Linked DNA regions of Macaca fascicularis. The protein of the gene in region 3 interacts with the protein of the main gene of each other region in a pairwise test. Links are inferred from orthologs where the notes say so. Each region holds a gene or a part of one and is shown on either strand. Other genes may lie near its edges. The genes, in order: FAM124A, ZNF646 and PRKG1.

What was found.
Region 1: the proteins of PRKG1 (region 3) and FAM124A interact in binary tests that used the Homo sapiens proteins (3 or more experiments, as listed by UniProt). The two-hybrid records come from large-scale screens. The link is inferred for Macaca fascicularis from reciprocal best matches to the Homo sapiens genes PRKG1 and FAM124A.
Region 2: the proteins of PRKG1 (region 3) and ZNF646 interact in binary tests that used the Homo sapiens proteins (3 or more experiments, as listed by UniProt). The two-hybrid records come from large-scale screens. The link is inferred for Macaca fascicularis from reciprocal best matches to the Homo sapiens genes PRKG1 and ZNF646.

The regions. Positions count from the first base shown.
Region 1 is NC_088391.1:30,377,264-30,381,556, reverse strand, and holds the start of FAM124A (protein FAM124A), read right to left. Parts: upstream 2,804-4,293; 5' UTR 2,800-2,803; coding exon 2,313-2,799; intron 1-2,312.
Region 2 is NC_088394.1:29,258,688-29,262,141, reverse strand, and holds part of ZNF646 (zinc finger protein 646), read right to left. Parts: coding exon 1-3,454. UniProt on the Homo sapiens protein: May be involved in transcriptional regulation.
Region 3 is NC_088383.1:94,262,931-94,266,580, forward strand, and holds part of PRKG1 (cGMP-dependent protein kinase 1), read right to left. Parts: coding exon 3,554-3,650; intron 3,472-3,553; coding exon 3,409-3,471; intron 2,154-3,408; coding exon 2,087-2,153; intron 827-2,086; coding exon 728-826; 3' UTR 1-727. UniProt on the Homo sapiens protein: Serine/threonine protein kinase that acts as a key mediator of the nitric oxide (NO)/cGMP signaling pathway. GMP binding activates PRKG1, which phosphorylates serines and threonines on many cellular proteins.

The DNA.
Region 1 (4,293 bases), on a different chromosome or scaffold from region 3:
ACAAGGCCAGGGAGGGAAGAAGGGACTCCATAACAGGAGTCAGGGCATGTAGACCACGTTAAATTCCTTGCATTTGTAGATAACTGAGCCATAAAAGTTTGAAAAGGAGAGACATGATCAGATTTGCATTTTAAAAATACTGATAGCAAACTTATTGTTTTCTATGTGCTTTCTACACAATCTCTGTGAAAACTGGATAGGGTCAGGGGTGGGGGCAAGCTCCAGAAAAGTAGGGAAACGATGAACAGCTTTTTGATAACTGAAATTCAAGGGCTCCATGAATATACGGAAAACACAAAACTAATGAGCATACATTGAAACGCATGCTATTTTACCTTTAGTTTAAGGATGCTAGTGATACAGTAAGAATTTCTGTTTCTTTTGAGATGGAGTTTCGTTCTTGTTGCCCAAGCTGGAGTGCAATGGTGTGATCTCGGCTCATGGCAACCTCCGCCTCCTGGGTTCAAGAGATTCTCCTGCCTCAGCCTCCCGAATAGCTGGAATTACAGGCATGTGCCACCACGCCCGACTAATTCTGTATTTTTTTTTAGTAGAGACGAGAGTTCTCCATGTTGGCCAGGCTGGTCTCGAACTCCCAACCTCAGGTGATCTGCCCACCTCAGCCTTCCAATGTGCTGGGATTACAGGCGTGAGCCATGGCGCCCGGCCAAGAATTCTTTAAACAATTCTGTCCTGTTACAACTACACATTTTAGTGACAGAGGCTGAGAACAGAAGCTCTGGTGTCAGCAGGAGTGGCGAGCCCCTCCCAGGAGGCCTGGCAGCTGTCATGCTGATGTCTAGATCCTGGGGCGATATCACCCCCTGGGTCAGGACTTCCTCTCCCTTCTCTAAGACAGAGCCCTTGAAAACAACATCAGTTTTAGGTGAGCTCTGCAAATTGAAAATGAATAGACTACTGAACGCTTTATTTAACGCAGCTACAAATAAGCTGGTTAATTTTGCTTTGTTTCTCCTATTCATAGTCCAGCTAACTAGTGGCAGAAAAAAAAAAGCCAATAATCTTCAATTAAAGTTGATACATGCCACTTATACAAAGAGTGGGAAGAAGAAAGGGAGTTTAGCATTTAGCATCAGGTTACTCCACCAGATTATAATTGGGTGCTGTAGAGAGCTATGAATGAGTTTAGATAACAGAGAAAGCCCATTGCTGGGTGAATGCCCTAGGGAGTAAAGTCCCACATTTGGGCTAGGAGTGGTGGGGCAGGAGGGGCTGTGTCGGGAGCTTTGCCGGGGTTGGGTTAGAACTCTGGGTCGATTGTGGGCCTAGATTCTCTACCTGCCCTCACAGGGTTGCCAAATCCTGAGATTAGTCTAAAACCTCTCCGACCTTTCAGGAATGAGGCTTTCTGCAGTCTGGGCAGCTCCCGCCCTCCCCCAGGATTACTCCAGATAGGAAAAGACATCCTTTCCTCCTGGGTCAGTACCCGTGGCCTGGATGTGGTGCTGACTCTGCACAGGAAAGTCTTTTAGATATAGGGGCTGCCTGGAAGCCTTTATAATGACATTCATCTCCTAAAAGGCATTTTGTCTTTTGTTCCGCTCAGGAAAACAGTGTTTGGAGACTAACTAATTAGTCTCCAAAGGTTTGAGCTCATTGTTTGAGTCCGCTGAAGCGAAGAGAATATTAAAAAAAAAAAAAAAAAGAAAAGAAAAAAAAGGCAGGGCTAGATCCTAATCTTAACACCATCTCCATCCCGCCGGTACAACAGGCCAACGGTTGCGGCTGGGACAGGTGCACTTAGAGGTGACGAAGTTCGGCGGGACTGGAGGAGTCGAGGAAGGGGACTCGGCAGCACAGATTAAAGTCCCACGATGAAGCCATATAACGAGAAATGCCATCCTCCTAGCCGACTTCGGAAAGACTTTAGGTGCGGGTGTCCCACCCTGCTTTTCCTCCTCTCCCCATCTCCAGGGCCGGACTCCAGGGTGCTCCGGAGCTACAGGAGGAAAGTCCCCGAGGAAGGAGGAAACAAGTGCAAGAGCATCTCCTGTCTCTAGCGATGCTGACAAGGGCTCTTTGCATCCGCCTGGCGCTCTGCATCGCCTCACCGGATGGGTGGGCTTGCACTGAACCTTGAGCCCTTCCACTTTCCTTCCCCCGGGTGGGGCCCGCCCTGCCGAGGGCAGCCACGGATCGCTCGGCCTGCCTGGGAGGCAGCGGAGGATCCGGCAGGAGAAGCCCCGCGCCCCTGTCCCATTGCGGGGATCAGGAGGGTCCCCAGCCAGGGAGAAGCCGCCGCGCAACTCGGAGAGCGCCCCCCGCCCGCGGTCCGGCCCGGCGCGGCTCACCCTCCGGTCTCGGCGCCCGAGTCCACGCAGTCGTCCTCCTCGCCGCCGCCGCTCGCCTTCGGGTCCATGATGCGCGTCCCGGCCGCGCTCGGCTCGCGGGCGCCGTCGTGACCCGGGACGCGCTCCTTCCCGGCCGCTCCCTCCAGTCCGAGCCGGCTGGGCTCCCCGCGAGCGTCTGGCCGCCCTGGAGCCGGCAAACAACTCGAGCGCCAGCCGCGAACCCCGCGCCGCGCCCTCTCCCGGCCGCGCCCGGCGGGGCACCCGCGGCCGCGCCCGCCCCGCCCCTCGCCGTCCGGCGGGACCCGCGTGTGCGCGCGGCGGTGCGCGGGGAGTGCGCGCGAGCGAGTGCGTGAGCGCGTGGGGGGCGTGTGCGCGTGAGTGGCCGAGGCGTGTGAGGTCCCGTGCGTCTGTGGATGCGGTGTGAAATGGGTGCGGTGTGCACTCCTGGTTGCACGCGACTGTGGCTGTGCTGAGCGCGTGTGCCCATCTGTGGTGCGTGACCGCGTATGTGTTGTGGGGGCGGGGTGAGTGTGCACAGAAGAGCCGCCCCTCTCTCCCAGGCCCACAGTCCGGGAATCCCGAGCCCCAGGGCTTGCCACGAGGTTCCCCAGCTCCTGATCCGGGAGGAGCACTGAGAAAACCAACCTCAGCGCATCGTGAAAGCTGAGAAGGATTTGTTTCCCTTTTGGGAACAATGCGAATACCTGGGTGTTTTCTTATAGTTTCTGAAGAATTGCTGACGCCAAATTCATTATCACCTTTCTCAGTACACGTCTGAGTGGCATCCCACCCCCCAACTTGCCAGTTTACAATAGGTGTCATGCATTCTTTTGCTACTTAAAAAAAAAAAGCCTTTAAAAATAATTTAGAGCATTGAATGAACCTGCAATTCACGGATTGTTGCAGCAAGGGGATAACCTCAGGGTGAGTTAATGATCACTATTGGAGGGGCTCACCTCCTATTAGGAGGGTGAAGAGGGAGGCAAGTTGGCAGGGCGGTCGGAAGGAGAATCTGAACAACCTGAATTTAGTTCTGACAGTCCTATCCAAACCATTGGGAGGAATTGTCCTTACTGAGCCTAAAATTCCTTGCACCCCGAGCAGCAACGGACATATTGGTGCTCATTAGCTGAAAGAAAGGAGCGTGCCAGTTCTTCAGGGGACATTCGCCTGCCTGTGCACTGATCTCTAAAAGAAAATTCTCAAGTAGGGTGAGAAACATTGTGAGTGATGCATTGCACAATGTCATTAATGATCATTTTTAATGTACTGATTCATTCAATAACTAAATGCCAAACAGGAGGGTGAACTCTGCATATACAAATGAGAGAAAATAGCAACAGGTATGATCCTTGCCTTCATTGCACTTACAATCCAGAGGGGAGACAGTTAAACAAATTCTGTGTGTATGTGTGTGTGTATATATATTATTATTATATATGTGTAACAAAATGGAGATAAACCACTATGAAGGAAAAGAATAGTGTGCCCAAGAAAGAGAGAACATAATTCAAATTGTGAGAGAGCAGGGAAAGCTCTCTCAGGGAGGGATACCTGAGCCCTCTTCTACCTCAGGGCGTTTGCACTTTCTGTTCCTTCTTTTTGAGATATTTTCTCCCAGATTTTCTGCAAGACTCCCCCCACATGTCCTTCTGTTCTGGGTTCACATGGCCCCTCATAACGGAGGCCTCACTGACTAATCCTACATCACAGTATCCCCTTACCCAACTCTATTTCTTAGCACTGTACTAGGAGCTGGCAGATGATAGATTTATTTACTGGCCACCTGCTCTTTCCTCCCTACCCATACCCCTAAGGTCAGCTCCATGAGAGCAGGGACACAGTGTTTTTTGTTCTTAGTGTGTCCCCAGCACCTGGAACAGCCCCTGGAGCAATGCGTGTGTGTCAAGTGAATGACAGGGAAGCAGCCCAGTGCAGGTTGTGAGGTGAGGAGGTGCTCCAGGAAGAGAGACCTCCAAGT
Region 2 (3,454 bases), on a different chromosome or scaffold from region 3:
GGAACTGAGGAACCCAGCCGCCACTGTGATTTCCCAGTCCCCCACCTACTGACCACCCACCTGCCTTCCCTGCATCCCAGGACAGTGGCTCTGGGGCTTCTGAGCTTGCTGCCCTGATGGGGCTCTGACTGCGCTCCCCTGGTCTCTGGACTCCATCCTCCAGCTGGGGTACTGGCTCAGCACCACCCAATTGGGCCTCTAGTCCCTGGCTACCAGCCAGGTTCGCCTCACTGGCTGTGCCATCCAGGCCTCCCTGGCCATTGGCTGGCTCCCTTTCTGTCTCCTCCTCATGCTCCCGCAGGTGCCGTTCCAGAGATCCCCGGCCAGGGAAGCCGCGGCCACAGAGGGCGCAACGCACAGCTGAGCGCCTGGACCGTCCAGCCCGCCGCCGCCGATTCTCCGAGTGCAGCCTCTGGTGGTCCTTCAGGGCCATGCGGTTGGAGTAGGTCTTGGGGCAGGTGGGGCAGCTGTACTGGCCCGTCTCGTGGCTGCGCCGGTGGTTCAGGAGGCTGCCAGCATGGCGATAGGTCCGCCCGCACTGCCCACAGCGGAAGGGCCGATCTTCCCGAGTCGGCTTTCGGGTGCCCCCACCCCCACGTCGCTCCATGTGGACACGCTGGTGGCTGGCCAGCTGTTTCCGCAGGCGGAAGGCCTTCCCACACTCACTGCAGCGGAAACGTCGGGGATCTGCATGGATGCGCCGGTGGTTCTTGAGGGACATGAGGTTTGAGAAGCCCTTGGAGCAGGCCTGACAGCCGAAGTGGCCGGTCTGGTGGCTCTGCCGGTGGTTGATGAGGCTGCCGGCATGCTTGTATGATCGGCCACACACCTCACAGCTGAAGGGCCGCTCAGAGCTGGCTTCAGTCTGGCAGCCCTTCTCGGCAGTCTCCAGCCTGGGCTCTATCTCCTCCCCTTTCACAGTGGTCTCCTCCCACACCTCTTCTTTCACCCCTGCCACTTCCTCCAGGGGCTCCACTTTAAGTTTTTCCTGGAGCTTCTCGACTTCTGCCTGCCCCAGTCCCTCCTCTGCCATGTGCTGGGGCTTGCTGCTGCCTCCTTCTGGGGTGGGCCCAACCTGCAGCTCACTGCTACCTCCTGCCTCTGGGATGGGCCCAACCTGGGGCTCAGAGCCTTTGCAGCGAGGGTGGTTCCGCAGATGATTACGGTAGGCAGCCAGGTTGGGGTAGCAGCGGGAGCAGACAGTGCAGAGAAAGTCTCCAGTCTGGTGGATCTTGCGGTGGTTCACCAGGCTGCCCCCATGGCGATAGGTCTTGCCACACTGGTTGCAGCGGAAGGGGCGGGGCTGAGCCTCCAGCAAACTTTCCCCACCCTGCATGCAGAGGCCGTCTCCCAAGGGGGTGCCTGCTCCCTCTTGAGACTTGGCATCTCCACCCTCTCCAGAGACAGAAGTCACTATGTCCTCCAAGACACTGCCCACAACCATCTCCGTGGCATCACCTGCCACTCCCAAGGGGCTGGGAGCCTTGTCTGCAGCAGTCCCAGAACTTTGACTTTGGTGGTGGCGCTCCAGGCTCCCCAGGTCATCGTAGGTCTGCCCACAGCAGCCACAGATGTGCCCATACCCTGCACTGTCCAGTGCTTCCACCTCCCGCTGCAGCTGATTCAGCAGCTCTGCTTCTGAGAGCTGCAGTGGCGGGCTGCGTGCAGGGGCTGCCTCTGCCGCTCCTTCCTCTTCCCCCTCCTCCTCTTCCCCCTCAGTCATGCCAGAGGAGCTGTGGGCCTGGCGCCGGTGAAGCCTGTAGCCAGCCCGCCCGGGGAAGATCATGCCGCAGAGGCAGCAGAGGAAAGGCTGTGCTGAGGTCGCCTCCCCGGGCCTATGGTTCTGGAAATGGCTGCGGAGGGCAGGCAGAGAGTCAAACTCCTTCGGGCAGAGGGAGCACTGATAGATGCCTGGTGGGTGGCAGGGCCTGTGGCTCAGCAGGCCAGTGGCATGGGGGAAAGAATGCCCACAGTCAGAGCATGTGTGAGTGGCCCCAGCCTGCCAGCCAGTGACAGTGTTGGCAGAGTGGGAAGAGGAGTTGGGTTGGCCAGTGGCTGGCTTCTGGTCTTCATCCACGCCAGTGAGGCCATCGCAGAAGCGAGTCCCACCACCTTCCTCACCTCCTGGGATGTCCAAATTGTCAAGTAAACTGGCATCCTTCCTTTCCAGTCCTTCCCCAGTGCCTCCACTCTCTTTATCACCCTGGAAATGGGTCTCATCCTTCTCAAGCCCACATTTGTCCCCTTCAGATTCAGCCTGCAAAAAGCCCCCATCACTTTCCAGGTTGCCTTCCGCCCCATGAAGACTTTCCACTGAAGGGTCTTGGGGAGAGTCCAGGCCTTCATTGTCTTCTAGCTCCCGGGTCCAGCTCCCTGCTGCCAGGAGTTTGGCTTCTCCCCCACCACTGGCACCACCAGCCCGCTTCCGATGCCGCCTGCTCCGCCGCCGACTGTGCCGGCGCAAGTGGTTCTTCATGGCAGCCATGGTGTGGAAGTGCTTGGCACAGGCCCCACAACTGAAGTCTCCTGTCTGGTGGGTCTGCCTGTGGTTGATAAGGCTGCCGGAGTGGCGATAGCTCTTTCCACAGTCTCGGCAGGCGAAGGCCCGAGGAGGTGACACTGTGGTCTCTGTCCTGCTATTTTCCTTTTCCCCTGCCCCATGAGTCAGGCCATGACGTTCAAGGCTCTCAGGGTCTTCAAAGAGCAGCCCACAGATGCTACAGGTATGTGCTGCTGTCCTGTCTGCTGCTGGCGTGATGTCTGTGGCCTCTTCTTCATGTTTGCACACGTGGTCCTGATCTGTGTGCGGGGCTGCCTCTGCCTCTACTGGGTCAGGCGGGAGTTCTACCTTGAGGTGGCTGGGGGCACCCTCGGCCCCGATGTCTGCACTTCGGCGAGCAGCCTTGCAATGTACCCGCACGTGGTTGCGCAGGGCCATGAGATTGGGGTACTTGCGGGGACACAGTGAGCACTGGTACTCTCCAGTCCGATGGCTGTGGCGATGGTTCACCAGGCTCCCCCGGTGGCGGTAAGCACGACCACACTCACTGCACTTATAGGGCCGATGGTCCAGGGTGGTGGTGGGGTCCTCTTCCTCTTTGTGGGTGGTCTCAGTCAGCAGCAGGCGAGCTGGTGGCACTGATGGCTGCCCATTTTCCCCAACTCCTTGCCTGGGCCTGTGATGAGCCCGCACATGGTTTTTGAGAGCAGCCGCATTGAACAGCTGCTTAGAACAGAGCGAGCAGGGGTAGACACCTGTCTGGTGGCTCTTTCGATGGTTGATGAGGCTCCCGGCATGGCGGTAAGTACGGCCACAGTCCCCACAGCGGAAAGGCCGGTATTCCTCCAGGCCACTGTCCTCCAGCTCCCCAGAGGTGCTAAGCTCTGCACAGCCATTCAGCATCTGTGCACTGGGGAGCTGGTCCCGGCTGCTCTCGTCTGTGCGCCCATTGGT
Region 3 (3,650 bases):
AAAAAAAAAACAAATATCATGCATTATTTTTCAGTCCTCTGTGAAAACGTATATATACCTACTATGAGAGGTCTCAGCAGAATCTATAGCAGTTGTGCTTTTATCATATCATTTTTTAAAATCTGTCAGAAAGAAAAGGTAACATTCAGTCTTGTCATCAGCACTGCTGGGAAATAAAATCATGAAACTTCTAGCACTGGTGTGACATGAACTCTGTGACCAACAGATGTGTGGTCCTCTTTTGTATGGTATATACACCGGCCTGCAGTAATAGATCCCACAGCCTTCACTTGAAGAAAGGGAATAGCCCAGTTTCTGTACCATAGTAATCTATTGTACCCAATATATTATTCTTTCATCTTCTTGAATATTCTAGCAAGGTACAGACTCCTATACTAGATTGAAGTGTTTCCTACAGTCTTTCAAATTATAATCAGAGCAAAGCAAGGTCATTGCCACAATAGAAAACATCTCTTTACTGATGAAAGGCTTTGCTTCAGGACCACCATGTCAACTGCTATTTTAGGTTCAAACAGAAAACATGTAAAGAGCACTATTGTCATCTAAGCAATAAGTTCTAATGCCACTGTAGTTACTGGAGCAGCATCGATCAAAGGCATCATGGTGACCCCGAGCACTAATCTTCTCTCTTTCCCTCAGGTTTGCTGGCAGCTGTGTCTCAGAAAAAGCTGTCTTCAGCAAGGCAGAAGCAGGTAAGAGAAATACATTAGAAGTCTATGTCCCATCCTGAGTTGTCATCAGGTGGTGGTTCATCGTTGTCCTCAGGAAAACTGTCAAAATTGCTTGTATCTGTGGGTGATGCAACCTGTATAAAATGGACAGTTTTGTTTTAGTGGATTTTTTTTTTTAGTGGAATTCCAAGCTGGAATTTTTAAGTGCATTCTGTATTTATCCCCTATTAGTGACTATTTTGTTGAGTATCTACTATGTAGCAGGTATTGAGGGTCACACTGATGGGTACAAATAGACATGGTTCTTATCCTCAGAGAGTTTATACCCTTGTGAGTAATAAATTGTCTGATTAAAACAAATAATCACAAAAAATCTTTCTATATAATAAATTTTGGCTAGAGCTATGGAAACAAAGATGCCACAGAAGTCTAAGAGTAATCATATAGGCCCAGCGTGGTGACTCACGCCTGTAATCCCAACACTTGGTAGGCCGAGGTGGGAGGATCACTTGAGGTCAGGAATTCAAGACCAGCCTGACCAACATGGTGAAACTCTGTCTACTAAAAATACCAAAATTAGCTGGGCATTGTGGTGAGTGCCTGTAATCCCAACTACTCAGGAGGCTGAGGCAGGAGAATTGCTTGAACCTGGGAGGCGGGGGTTGCACTGAGCTGAGATCGCGCCACTGCACTCCAGCCTGGGTGACAGAGTAAGACTCCATCTCAAAAAAAACCCCCCAAAAAACAAAAACCAAAAAACTGATCATGTAAAGACTCTTTGAAAAAGTGTTATTTTATTTTATTCTTTTTTTAGAGACAGGGTCTTTCCGCTCTGTCACCCAAACTGAAGTATAGTGATGCAATCACAGCTCAGTCACCTCAAATTCCTGGGCTCAAGTGATCCTCCTGCTCCAGCTTGAGTAGTTAGGACTATAGGTGCACGGACTACAGGTGCACATCAGCACACCTGGTAAATATTTTCTTTTCTTTTTCTTTGGAGAGACAGAGTCTCACTATGTTGTCCAGGCTGGCTGGTCTTGAATTCTTGAACTCCTGGCCTCAAGTGATCCTCTCACCTATATATTTTTGTCTGCGTTTCTATCTTTTGAACATTTCCCATACTAAAAATTAACTTATGTTCATAAATGAGGGAAACTTGATTTAAAATGAATAGTTAAAAAAGATAAGAGTAAAACACAATTATAGCGACTATCTCCAAATGTATTTGCTTTTAAGCTTGGATTTTAGAATATGTCATTATTTTAATGTGACATTTTTCCTAGAGTTTGTTTAACCTAATCATAGGATTAAACTTAAAAAATAACAGATCATTGTTGACTGACATAAACACCATCAAGTGTCTCACACAATTATAAGCTGGAAAGTCTACTTACACTTGGTATTATAGGAGGTGTCAAGGTACCTTTTCTTAAGCCTTCCCAGTTAAAGCCCTCAAACCATCTAAAAAAGGAAAAAACGTCGATAAAGACATTTTATGTCAGCTAAAACCTTCTTGTTGCAATGTATACAATGTCCATGGCTAATGGGAAGCAGTTAGGCAAACATTTTCATGTGACAAAAATGTTTTCTATTGAATTGCATATGTTTTCCCAATTAGTTTATTTTATGAAATACATATTTTTAAAAGTATAACTGTCAAATTTTAAACATCAATGAACATGCAACACTTTTTCCTTGTAATTCAGTCGTCATGGCTCTATGACCTTGTTCCTACACTATAATTATAATTTAATAAATGTCATAATGTATCTGGCCCTGTGTCTTACAGGGTATTTTATTTTAAGGAGGTAGAACCAGGGCATGAAAAGTCAGGATAGAAAATTAACTTTCCATTTTTGCCACTGATTCAGTGCACAATGTCAGCTAGTTAATCTTTACGCATCATTGTAGTAGTCTCTACATGCCCCATTTTCCTCCTTTATTCCCTTTTTTAATGAAGAATAAAGGTGTTTTGCGTACAGTTTTTCTGTGAAAATAAGGACCAAAAAAGACTAAAGTTTTTGCTTGTTTGTTTTCTTCTGTCTTTGAAGGGTTTCGCCATCAGCAAATGCTTACAACAAATTCTTAGCAGGCTTTTCAGATATTCAGAGTTATTTTAGTAAACATGTTTCTTTGATAAGGATGTGAATTTCCTGTCAGTGTTATACAAACAAATAGAGAAAAACCAATTAGTTTAGCTTTAGAACATCCAATCAACATAGGAAAGGTCTGATATTTAAGATGTTGCTATTGTTTAAAAAACACTGTATTCTGTGCTTACGTTTTTCTCTTGTTATAGCATCTAATTAGGAAATGCTTAAAAAAATATATTTTGTCTTTAGGAAATCAGGTAAGATACAGTAGGGGACTTTTGTTTGTAATACTGTGGTAGAGAACAGAATCCCCAAATTTAAAATACACATTTCTTCTTTGTGCCAGAGAGGAAAAAAATGCTAGTTGGTATGAGTTGTAAGAAACTGAGTTCAGTGAATTCAGTTTCTTATGTTACAGGGTTGTCAGATAAATATAAATAAAGTTTCATAATCACAACTAGAAAGGCATTTAAAAGCCTAACTAGTTTATATGCTGTCTTTGGATGTTCCTATAGGCTAATTACACTAGTTTTACACCAATAACTTAAAAAGCAACACCCTGGGGAAAAGATGGCAGGTGTTCAGAACTCTGAAACCTAAAATTATAAGGAAAGAACACTTACTTGTGCTTTTGAATGTCTTTTACTCCATTTTTCAAATTCCCTAATCTTTCTGATGGATTGTCCCTAAAAATAAAATAATGGTTTTATTAAATCTATTTTTTTCACATTATGATCTTTTCAGAAATAATGTGGTTGAAATACTTGCCTGCATAGTTTTTTAATTAAATTAGCAGCATTTTTAGCAATCTTCTTTGGAAATTCTATCATGTCAATCCCCCTCAATATGATGTTATAGGTTTTCA